Ovis aries: one gene and its partners. The main gene of each other region encodes a partner of the protein of the gene in region 3 in a complex. Links are inferred from orthologs where the notes say so. Each region holds a gene or a part of one and is shown on either strand. Other genes may lie near its edges. The genes, in order: LIN54, LIN52 and TFDP2.

The links.
Region 1: TFDP2 (region 3) and LIN54 share a complex: the UniProt entries of both Homo sapiens proteins name them as parts of the DREAM complex. The link is inferred for Ovis aries from reciprocal best matches to the Homo sapiens genes TFDP2 and LIN54.
Region 2: TFDP2 (region 3) and LIN52 share a complex: the UniProt entries of both Homo sapiens proteins name them as parts of the DREAM complex. The link is inferred for Ovis aries from reciprocal best matches to the Homo sapiens genes TFDP2 and LIN52.

What each region holds. Positions count from the first base shown.
Region 1 is NC_056059.1:98,538,843-98,543,093, forward strand, and holds the start of LIN54 (protein lin-54 homolog), read right to left. Parts: upstream 2,918-4,251; 5' UTR 2,908-2,917; coding exon 2,871-2,907; intron 1-2,870. Other genes in the region: COPS4 (COP9 signalosome complex subunit 4), read left to right, coding at 3,155-3,228. UniProt on the Homo sapiens protein: Component of the DREAM complex, a multiprotein complex that can both act as a transcription activator or repressor depending on the context. In G0 phase, the complex binds to more than 800 promoters and is required for repression of E2F target genes.
Region 2 is NC_056060.1:83,527,820-83,531,465, reverse strand, and holds part of LIN52 (protein lin-52 homolog), read right to left. Parts: intron 1,467-3,646; coding exon 1,392-1,466; intron 224-1,391; coding exon 186-223; intron 1-185.
Region 3 is NC_056054.1:247,417,133-247,421,495, reverse strand, and holds the start of TFDP2 (transcription factor Dp-2), read right to left. Parts: upstream 2,899-4,363; 5' UTR 2,549-2,898; intron 1-2,548. UniProt on the Homo sapiens protein: Can stimulate E2F-dependent transcription.

The DNA of each region.
Region 1 (4,251 bases), on a different chromosome or scaffold from region 3:
GCTTGTAGGTCTAGTGGAGATATTTTGAAAAGAGCTACTTTATGTATGTGGCTGCTGCTTTTATTTTTCAGCAAGGTATTACAAGAGTTTCCCAGGTGGCGCTAGTGGGAAAGAATCTGCCTGCCAGTTCCAGAGACACAAGAGATTCAAGTTCAATCACTGGGTTAGAAAGATCCCCTAGAGTAGTAAATGAAACCCCACTCCAGTATTTCTTGCCTGGAAAATTCCAGGGCAAGGAGGAGCCTGGAGAGCTACAGCCCATGGGGCCGCAAAGAGTCAGGGGTAACTGAGCAAGCAGGCATAAGGTACTACATGTAAAGTTTGAAGTCAGGGTAGATAGAGAACAGAATGTCTGGAAATTCTGGAGCTTCACTAAGTTGAAAAAGTTGACGACTTGTGTAACCCTAAATTACAGGAGAGAAAACTTGGCTTAGAGATTTCTCAGAGCCCAATGTGATTTTTTTTTTGGCAAACACACATAAACAAAAAACAACAGAAAGGAAAGATACACTGAAGCAAAAATCAAACTATTAACAGAGTTCTCTTCTCACTTAAGCTTATTCTTTCAGATGATTTCAAGGATATCATCATTAAGATGTTAAGAATGGGTTGCATATGGAAGTCAGGATATAGGGCAGATTTAATGACTACTTCTAAAAAAAACCTTTAGGAGCTCCCTTGGTGGCTCAGACATTAAAGAATTTGCCTACCATGCAAGAGACCTGGGTTCAGTCCCTGAGTCGGGAAGATCCCGTGGAGGAGGAAATGGCAACCCACTCTAGTATTCTTGCCTAGAGAATACCATGGACAGAGGAGCCCCGTGGGCTACAGTCCATGGGATCGCAAAGAGCTGGACATGACTGAGCAATTAACACCTCACTTCAAAAACGACTTTGAGTATGTTTATTGGCACCTGAAACTGTCTGTAAAGGAAGCAGAGTTTACTGAATATTCAATAAAGTTATGTTAAAAAAAATCCCACTGAAAAACCGGGACTACAAATGCCCTCAACTGTTCAAGTCCTAAAGCGTTCCTCTAGAGAGGGAATGGAGAAGGCAATGGCAACCCACTTCAGTACTCTTGCCTGGCAAATCCCTTGGACGGAGGAGCCTGGTGGGCTGCAGTCCATGGGGTCACTGGGAGTCGGACACGACTGAGCGACTTCACTTTCACTTTTCACTTTCATGCATTGGAGAAGGAAATGGCAACCCACTCCAGTGTTCTTGCCTGGAGAATCCCAGGGATGGGGGAGCCTGGTGGGCTGCCATCTCTGGGGTCACACAGAGTAGGACACGACTGAAGTAATTTAGCAGCAGCAGCAGCAGAGAGGGAATACCCTCCAACATCCAGTTAACTTGTATTTAGAAGGCAAAGCTGCTGCTGCTGCTAAGTTGCTTCAGTCGTGTCCAACTCTGTGCGACCCCATAGACGGCAGCCCACCAGGCTCCCCCGTCCCTGGGATTCTCCAGGCAAGAACACCGGAGTGGGTTGCCATTTCCTTCTCCAATGCATGAAAGTGAAAAGTGAAAGTGAAGTTGCTCAGTCGTGTCCGACTCTTAGAGACTGCTCGTGGACTGTTGCCTACCAGGCTCCTCCGTCCAGTGGATTTGCCAGGCAAGAGTACTGGAGTGGGGTGCCATTGCCTTCTCCGAGAAGGCAAAGCTGGGATCCACCAAATACAATGAACAATGCAATTATCCTCTCAAAATGCAGTACTAACCATGGTGTCTCACCACCATGCAGATATAACAACGGTAGTGGGTGTTCATAATTCCTGGGCAGGATTCTACCATTGCTGTGGACAAGTAACTACTGTGTTTCACACTCTTACTTTTCTGGAACTGTAGTTATCCTATTGCTTCTGTCCTTGCTCCTCTATTGTTTTGTATTACATGTTTGGGCCTGAGGCTGATAATTTCTTCTATAGTGTATATGTGTCTGGACCATGAACAATTACATCCAAACTTTTGGAGAGGGTTGTACATTATCAGACATCCTGGATTTTAAGCTGATACAGAAACTGAGTGGGAACTTGAACTCTCTTCTTTAGGGTTGAGTATCCTACTGTAGGAAGGATACACACAGATACTGTATTATGATCAGAGGGACAAACGGTAGTGGAGACTGCTGGTTGACGCTCCAAAACCATCCTTTCCTTTGTCCTAGGCAAAAGGAAACTAAATATCCAGACTCAGAGTTACCAGGCATGGAGATCTCACTAAGTTTTTAACTATGGAGGGACATCTGAACTGATAGTGAAGGACAGGAAAGCCTGGCTTGCTGCAGTCCATGGGGTCACAAAGTTTTGGACACGACTGAGAGACGGAACAACGACAACAAATTGCCACAGTACTTTCTCAAAGGATTTCTTTGTTCTGGACTTTTCTTTCCCCTTCCCCAAATAAGGAACATGTTCTTTTTCACATATAAAATGGCAGAAATTCAAGTTTAACATCCTTTGTAGGCAAGGCTGCAGAAATTTGCACTCCTATATAAATACATAAATACAATTACGTATCAAAGTAAGGCTATAATATAATTTGTCATCTAAATGGAACAGTTTCCAGAGTGAAAGGGCATGTTATTAACAATTACTCCAGGACGACAGATGGAAAATGGCACTGTCCTGGATAAACTGAGATGTATGATCAATCTATATACAGACGCAGAGTAGGAACGGAATGGGGACATTTTTTATTGTACTTTACAAAAGTACCGGTCTGTAGTGAATTGTAAACAAACAAACAAAAAACCTCGTTCTTTACCACGGGTAGTTTAAGTGCAGCCTTAAAGAACAAGGGATGGTAAACTACATATATGAGATACGGAACTTGACGAAAACCCCGAAGTTTTGCGAATCGGGCACTTACTGGGGTTGCACAAGCGACACAGTCCCTTGGAGTTCATCCGCCAATCCGAAGTGGGAGCGCGTGAGCCCGAGCCTGTAAGAGAAGCCCGGGCGGGCCTAGGATTTGAGGAGTGGAGCTTCGCGTCAATCAACCTTGGGGGCGGACCTAACGCAGGCTCGGCGGTCTGGCCTACACAGGCGCTACTCTGTGGCATCTCGGGTTCCCTCTAGCCGCACTCTGGAGGACTACACTCGGTTTCTTTCGGCCGCGAGAGGCCCCGCAGCCTCCGCCGAGCTGGGAGAAAGATGGCGGCAGCCGTGCGACAGGATTTGGCCCAGCTCATGAATTCGAGCGGCTCTCATAAAGATCTGGCGGGCAAGTGAGTATTTCCCGGGAGCCTGGGAGGTGGAGAGGCAAGCCAGAGACTTGTTCTCCTTGGATTGACGGCGGCTTTCGGATGTGAAGCTAGGAGCGGGCCTGAAGATGAAGGGGGCGGGCCTGAGGTCGGTCGTGGAGGCAGATGTTGGGAGCAGCAGAAAACTGGAGGGGACCTTGTGCAGGGAGCGCTCAGGACCATAGATCTGGAGTGGCTGTCAACTTTTTCAGCCCTTGATGGCATCCTTTCCGTTCTCTAAAGATTCTGGAAGCGCGGTCTGTGGGACGACTGCGCCCATGGCCTTCTAAACCTACCCTGGCGCCCCTTCCCTTCGCTGGCCGGCCTCTCACACCGAATTCTGGCCTCTGTTTGCCTTTGCTGCGCCCGTTTTTTCTCTTTGACTGAGGGCCATTTGTATTCTGGAACCTTGGTTTAGAGTTTTCCGCGGAGATGGCTTCTTGAGGCTGACGGGGGCTGCTCAGGTATGGCCGCTATCATGACGTCCAGAACTACTTGAACCATCTTCTGTGGGTTGTGTTTTGGGTACTCTCTCTCCCTGCCACCAACTCTGAAGGAGGGCATGGAGGAATGTCACCACAACGTGGGTCAGGATGTCTAGAGTAGTGATGTTTGCAGAATTTTAAACATGATTAGAAATTTTGTCGGAATTTATGTAGAAGGGTTAAGTCCACGCCAACTTAAATTTGTGATTTGTGCCTGCCCTGCAGACAGTTATTCAACAGTGTTAATTACATCTAGATAGACAGGGAGATAGATAGATGTCTGTTTCCTCTTTGTAGATTTCACAGCACTAAATTTTTTTTTGGTAATTAACATGCATTCTGTTTCAAGTGTGCTTCTCAAATTGATCCTATTTACATTTGACAGCTAAGATCAGGTTGATCCATTTTAACTGGCTACACCTGTTTTAACCTGGCCATTGAAACATTGACTTTGTTTTATGTAGGCTGTAATGTATTTTGTCTGCTAGTAAATGTAATCCAGTATATCATTGGGAAATTTAGC
Region 2 (3,646 bases), on a different chromosome or scaffold from region 3:
AATATCAAAATAGAGCATTAACATCATTAACATGATGATGATATAAACAGACTTTCAGGGTTGCAGTTACAAAATACTATGAAGGCAATAACATTATTCTTGACAATAAAGAAATTAAAAGATACTTGAGATTTTACCCAGAAGCAAAAAATTGGAAAAACTTCATTATGTGAGATATTACTTACACTTTTGAAGGAAGCTGCAAATTCAGCAACACCTGGTACTAAAAAGAAAAAACAGAACATTAATCATTCAATATTGGCTACTATGTAAGGAAATGGGCACTTCCATACACAGTCATCCTCTTTCATGTGCACAAAGATATACATTGTGAAATCATTTATACTATCAAAACTTGTATATTATTAGGTTTTCAAATAGGGTATGAGTTCATAAGCTATAGTAAATCTAGACAATAAAATTTAAAAATGAAGTAAATCTATACCTATCAACATGGGAAGATCCACTGATAAATTACTAGGCATTAAATTAAGTTAAGCTGTAGATCACTAATACAGCTCAGTTCAGTTTAGTTCAGTCGCTCAGTCGTGTCTGACTCTTTGCGACCCATGAATTGCAGCACGCCCGGCCTCCCTGTCCATCACCAACTCCCAGAGTTCACTTAGACTCATGTCCATTGAGTCTGTGATGCCATCCAGCCATCTCATCCTCTGTCGTCCCCTTCTCCTCCTGCCCCCAATCCCTCCCAGCATCAGAGTCTTTTCCAATGAGTCAAATTTTCGCATGAGGTGGCCAAAGCACTAGAGTTTCAGCTTTAGCATCATTCCTTCCAAAGAACACCCAGGACTGATCTGCTATACAACCGCATAACAAAACAAAGCAAAAAAAAACTCTATATACTTTAAAATATTTATTTGCTTACTTGTGTAAGCATTAAAAAAAAATACACAATTTCTGTACTGAACTACAACAGCAGTTAACTTTATCAGCACTTAAAGGACGCAAGGAATTACTTGATACATTTCACACTGTCTGAGTTATTACAGATATAGCTTTTAAAAATAATTCTTTTGAGTGGGAGGTGGGAGGGGGGTTCATGTTTGGGAACTCATGTACACCGGTGGTAGATTCATGTCAATGTATGGCAAAACCAATACAGTACTGTAAAGTAAAATACAGTAAAAATAAAAATTAAAATAAATAAATAAATAATTCTTTTTTAAAGGTTCTCTATCATTTTCTGAGTCACACTGTGCTCTGAAAGAACTGAACTACTAAACAGCTATTCTTACCACCAGACCACAGAATTCAGTCTTTTCCTCTGAAATAAAATTTTAATCATTACAGTTAAATGATAACTCTTCAAAAATGTTCCTCAAAGTAGCACTGGTTTTCCCATTGATTTTGATATCAAGAAACCAAAAACTTACATTGTTCTGGCCAAAGGTCTGGTGAAGCCCTGTCAAGTTTTTCAAAACTTAGCAAAGATGCTTCTAGATCTGCCCCTAGAACAAAACACCCAGATAAGCCAAGAAGGAACAAAACACATTATTTTACATGTTATGACATATCAATCTCAAAGAACATAAACTGGAACACTCACTCACCTGGAAGTCTAGAGATTTGAGTTCTATGATTACTGATGCTACTGTGCCATGATGTTACACAAACAAATGATTTCCTTACTCTCCCCGTCTTTAAAAACGGAAACAATATTTTAGTAGGGTGTTGGGAAAAATGAATGTTCAAAACCACCTGTATCTTTACTCGTGTGTGTGTGTGTGAGTGTCTGTGTGTGTATTAAGTCGTTCAGTTGTGTCCGACTCTTTGTGACGCTATGGACTGTAGCCCCCTCAGGCTCCTCTGTCCGAGGAACTCTCCAGACAAGAATACTGGAGTGGGTTGCCATTCCCTATTCCAGGGAATCTTCCAGACCCAGGGTTCAAACCCTAGTCTCCTACATTGCAGGAGGATTTTTTTTACCACATGAACCACCAGGGAAGCCCATCTTTACTCATACTCAGACTCTCCTTCCAGTCACTGAAGTCCCTGCTATCAGAAAAAACAAACTCCTCTGCTCAGGCTCTGGATTCCACTGGATTTCTCTTGCTTTGTCAAAGACATCATAGTGAATAATCTATTGCACAACCAGTTTCTACCCTCTCTACCGGCTCATACTCAACAAGTAAGTCTGCTCTGGAATTTACCTTCTTTGAAGAAACTCTTGACCCCATGACTTCCTCACTACTTCATAGCAAAAGTTTTTTAGCTGTCCATCCTGTTGTCTCCTCTTCCTTACCTCACAGTCTTTCTTTAGCCTACCACAAACAGGCTTCTACCCCTACATGCATGGAAACAGCTGTCACAGAGGTCACTGATGACCTGTGTTGCTAAACCCAGTGGTCACTTCTTTGTTCTTTCTTATATGACCCCTCTGCAGCATCCAATCACTGACTACTCTCCTTCAAACACTCCAGCTTCTACAAAAGCACTATGCTGGTTCTTCCCCTTCCTCACGGATTCCTTCAGTCTCCCCTTCCACTCAGGGCCCACCGTAGGCTGGCTTCACTCTCGACTGAAAGTCTCCCAAGGAAATCTCATCTAGTCCCATACCCTTTACCACCATTTATTTGCCAAGGACTCCATATTTCTCTTTCCAGCCCCAATATTTTCCCGAACTTCAGCATTGTATATCTAAGTGACTATGTGACATCTCTATGTGTGAAAAACTTTTTAATCCCCATCTTCTCCATCTCAGTAAACAGCACCACCATCAACTCCAGTTCTCAATCCAAAAACCCAGGGGTCATCCTTCATGCCTCCCTTTCTTTCATCCTTCCATTACCAATCTATTCGTAAATCCAGTAGTTTCTATCTAAACCACACTCTGAAATTTCATTAATTAAGCAAGAAACTATCGTTTCTCTCCTGTACCACTTCAATAGGCTCTTACCATCTCCCTGCTCCCATTCTTACCCCTCCCCATCCCTACTCTCAAACCTACTTTCCAAAAAAGTTAAATGTCAATCAGTTCAAGCCACTCTCCAGCTTAAAAGACTTCTTCCCAGCTAAATTCATGAATGCATATCTATTGTGACCTATAAAATTCTATATGACCCAGCCCCTGCCTAATTTTTTGACACCATTTCTTTTCCACTCTTGCCCTGGAACACAGAAGGTGTTTAATATTAACAACAACAGTTAACATTTGTTAAGTACATTACTTTGTGCTCAGTATACAAATTAGCTGCATAAATTAGCTAATTTAATGATATAAACAGTGGTTCCTAACATGTTCTGGGTAAGCCAAATTTTTGAAAATCTGAAAAAAAAAGCTATGAACCCAGAAAATGTACATATTTATAAAATCTTTCAACATGTCCTTTTTTCTAACCAAAATTTCCTCCCAATAGTCTAAGGAACTCCCAAGTTCACATCAGGATTATCTACAATAGCCAAGACATGGGAACAACCTAACTGTTCACTGATGGATAAAGTTTGAAAATACACACACACACACACACACACACACACACACAAATGGAATATTATTCAGCCATATATAAATGAGGAAATCCTGTCATTTGTGACAACCTATATGGACGCTGAAGGCATTATGATAAATGAAATAAAACAAATAAAATACAACCTCACTTATGAGTGCAATCTAAAATAAGCAAACAGG
Region 3 (4,363 bases):
AGAAGAAAAGAATCAGGAAAACATAGGAAGTGTCTTTGAATATTTGAAAACTCACAGAAGAGACAGAACTAGAACCAGTGAAGAGAGAACTTTAAGTTCAATAAAAGAAATCATTTCTTAGAAGTTAAAGTTGTCCAAATATCTTTACCTCAGAACCTATGAACCTTCTCTCCAGAAAATATCCAAATACATATAATTTTGTATAAAGTTTTCAAGGGCTTACAAATCTACTTTTAAATCTATTTATGTCCTATCCCTAGAATCATATACCCCAGATTAAAATGGAAAGAATTCAAGTATAAGAGGTAAATATATTTAATCTAGAAAATTCATCACAACTTCAAATTCTATGATTCAAAACTCTGAACTCTATGCTTTCTAGTTTCTTCTAAGATACATTGCAATAAGAGCTTAAAATATGGTGCTGAGTTCAGAAAAAAAGTGAAATCGTTTGCCAAGAGACAATGTAAACTGACTACAAGATCTATCAGTAATAATGGCTTATTACTTAATCTTTAAAAGAAACATACCTAAGTTTAAAGATAAAAAAATAAGATACTAAGGTACTACTCATATCTAATATTTAATGCCCAAATTACAAAGTGCCTCCTTCTACTTTCAAGCCTTAATCTTTTCATCTTTCAGTGCCAGTTAACTGTTAAGGTTGACAAACTAAGAAAACAAAGGACTAGAAGTTAGAATACCAGGTTCTAACCTATGCCATGAACTTAATTTGGGCTTAATCTGTTTTTTACCATACTCTACTCTTTGAATCCTTCAGGTTGTGTTTCAGTGAATAATTTTCATCCACAAACACTTTCCACATTAAGGATAAATCGATCTGTACATCCAATTTCAAGCTGCATTGAGAGGACATAGCTCAGACAGTTAAGAATTTTGGCTGCAAGGAAAAAAACTTGAAAGTGCCAGCTGGCCGTCACCATTGCCAAGAGTTGGTGGGAAAGGTACATGATCACAAAATGGTAACATTAAGTATGACACACTTGAAAATTCTGTTTTCTCTCCTAATTAACCAACCACACATAATGAGAACTCAAAAACAAGAGTTTAGTAAGTCTTGGGCCTTTATTAAATATAAGCACCATACTGCTGAAACTGCAACTGTACTGCCAGGACAGGGCTACAGACACCATGTCTGCCATGAGACTAGGCTCTAGTTCCAGGCACAAGATGTTCTAATAAATAACATGCAGCAAGCGCCAGCGCACAAGTGTGATAGAATCTGGGGTCTAGACATTTGATTTTTCTCCCAGTGCTACTTAAGAATGGCCGCGGCCATTAAAGATTTATTACAGTAACAGGATAGCGATAAAACTTTAGCTAAATGGCAGGCCAACCAATGAAATGGAAAAGCAACATGCAATAACAGATCAACTAAATTAGTTTCTATTTAATTTTGTACAGTAGGCTCATGATTACACTGCATAAAGAACAGATGAATAACCTAAACTGTATCTATTAGGTAAAGATGATTTCAAGCCATTATGAGAAAAGTGGCCCAGAAAAAAAAATCAGGCTATAGAACTCAAGTGGAAAAAACACACAAAGATTTGGGAGAGAAAGGGGAAGGAAGGGAATGAGCTACTGACTTACTAAAAAGAGAGCAAAGAAGTGGGACAGGGAGTCTGAGCCCTCTGAGACAAAATGAGGAAGAAAAAGAATTCAAAGGCTCAAAGGGAGCTTTAGCAGTGAATACGGAAAGGGATGAAACTGTCTCAACAGGAAAAAACAAAAACAATAGGGGGAACTTTTCTAAACCATCATTCAGGGTGGTCAATTCAATGCCTAACTCATGCAGGGCAGGGCACTTCGTAGGACGCGAACTTCGTTCCAAATAGTTCCACCAATTACTCCATTTCCTCCTGGCACCACCCCCAATAGAGGGTTACTATTACAGATGAAGAAACTGAACCACACAACGCCCGGGAACACAAGCTGGTACCAGAGACTGGGAGTTCATCTTAGCTGCACTTCTCCCTGCGAGATCCTACAAAAATCTTACACTTTTCTATGGAAAGGAACCTTAAATCTATGGAATTTCTCAGAGTCTGGGCCCAAAAGTGATCCCCTACTTTAGAGGAAAGTTCCCCTGTGGAGGTTGCAAGGCTCTTCCAAGCGCACGAGGCTTTGGAACTCTGAAATACACCTGGTAGAGACAGATGGAGGCATGTGGGTCATGAAAGGAGAAGTCGGAAAAGTCAGACTTAGAAGCCATTCTTCTGCCCTAAAGATACCGAAAAAGTAGAAAGCAGCCCTTCCTCTCTTCCAGCAGGCGTGACTCAAGGACAGTGCCTCCCCGCAATTTGCTGTGTGTTGGGGGTGGGGGGTAGTCTCGGGTTTCCCACTCCCTTCCCCAGGCACTCAAGGGTTACTCGGCCGGGCCTGGAAGATTGCGTGGGAATAAACAGATGGGACCCAGAGTGACCAGGGGGCCCGGAGGGGCAGGGAGGGAAACCTGCCCAAGAACACGCCGGGCCGGGTACAGAGGCCCGCCGCACGGAGCCCGCGCCCGCGCCCTGGACCTTACCACCGCTTGGCTGCAGGGGACAAGGCGGCCGCGCAGGACTGTTCTTCGAGCTTGGAGCGCGTCTTCAGGCCCCTCTGCTACAGTGGCGCCCGCGCTTGGCGGCGCCCGGGTCCCAGGCGGACTCACACTCGGGGAAGGGTGGGCGATCCGCGGCCTGCCTAGTAGAGGCCCTGGAGTTCTAAGCCCCGGGACGCCGACCGCGCGCGCGCGCCTTCGAGCCTGCCCAAGGAGGAAGGGTTAGGGCGCGCCTCGAGAACCGAGCAGCGGCAGCGGCTGCAGCTGAAATCTTCGGCGGCTCCGTCCGCCCTCGCCCGGCCTAGCCGCGGCCCCGCTTCCCCCGCGCAAGCTTTGGCGGCGGAGCAGCACGGTGAGCGCCGATTGGCCCTCTGGGTGAATGACGTACGGCGCCTCTCCTCACGGATTGGCCAGGCTGGCGGTGCGTGCACGGAGTAAACAAACCCCGCCTCCAGGCTTCCCAAAGAGAGGAGGGGGCCCCCGAGGTGGAGGAGCGGGGTCTCAAGCACTCTGCGGGGTACCCGGATAATCCACTGGAGGTTCTCAGTGGATCGCCTACAACGGTCCTGCCGCGTGCTTCCCAGCCGCCTCCGGAGCAGGCTACAGGCCTGAGGCCTAAAATTATAGCCACACCCTCTCCCCCTTCCCCCGGCCTGGGTGGGAATCTTGACTTTTCCATCCGCCCCCATCCCCCCGGCCCCTTGCAAGAAAACCCCGATCTTTCTTAGAAAAAGGAAAACGGGCGTCCCTAGTTCCCAGGCACATCTCGGTTCCCAGTCATTTGATCAGTCACCTCTGGGGGAGCAGCCTAGAGGGGCAAGGGGACGAGTGATGAGGCCACGTGTGGGGCCAAGTTTGCAGTACCCTGTAAATTATTCAGACAGTGGGTTAAAGACTGCTAGGGTGTGAGATTTTCAACAACCCGGCAAGTAAGATCCAAACCTGACCAGGTCATCATGTCACATGGACGCTGAAAAGAAAATTGCAGCTCCCACCCTCAAATACCTGTCTATTTAGTTCAATGTTAATAATACATTCTGTGCCTATCTGAAAAATCATGTGTGAGTTTACATTTTAGTGGGCTTCCCCTGTGGCTCGGTTAGTAAAGAATCCGCCTCCACCGCGGGAGACCTGGGTTCAATCCCTGGGTTGGGAAGATCCTCTGGCGAAGGGAAAGGCTACCCACTCCAGTATTCTAGCCTGGAGAACTCCACGGACTGTGTAACCGATGGGGTGGCAAAGAGGCAGACGAGACTGAGCGACTTTCATTTCACTTCACTTACATTTTAGTGGGGTGGTAAAGATAATAGGCAAAAGAAATAAGCAAAATATAAGCTATGTTACATGTTGCGACACGCTGTGGAGAACAAATCTAGTAGACCAGGAATGGCTTTAAGGGATGGCCTGTCTTAGAGTGCTCAGTCAAGGTAGCAGGAAAGTGCCATTTAAATAAATACCTAAAGGAAGTGGGGGAGGTGAGAATGCACCTTTGGACCTTTCTCTGGGGTGGAGCGGTGGTGAGATAATTTCTGCATAATTGTACATAGATAAAGTCCTAGGCGGTCAAGAAAGCCCAATGAAGTCTCCTTGAACTGATTCTAAAATGCAAAAGCCCCAAAGGAGTCATTACCTTGCATTTTTCAGTAATGGATCAATAGATGTAGTTTCCACAGAAATTTTGTTGAGATTTCAACTTAAATACTTTTCAAACACTCTAGGGACAAAGATACAAAAATAAGCAAAACAGATGAAACCTCCATCCTCAAAGAGCTCAGTCTAGCAGGAGAGCTGGATTGTAAA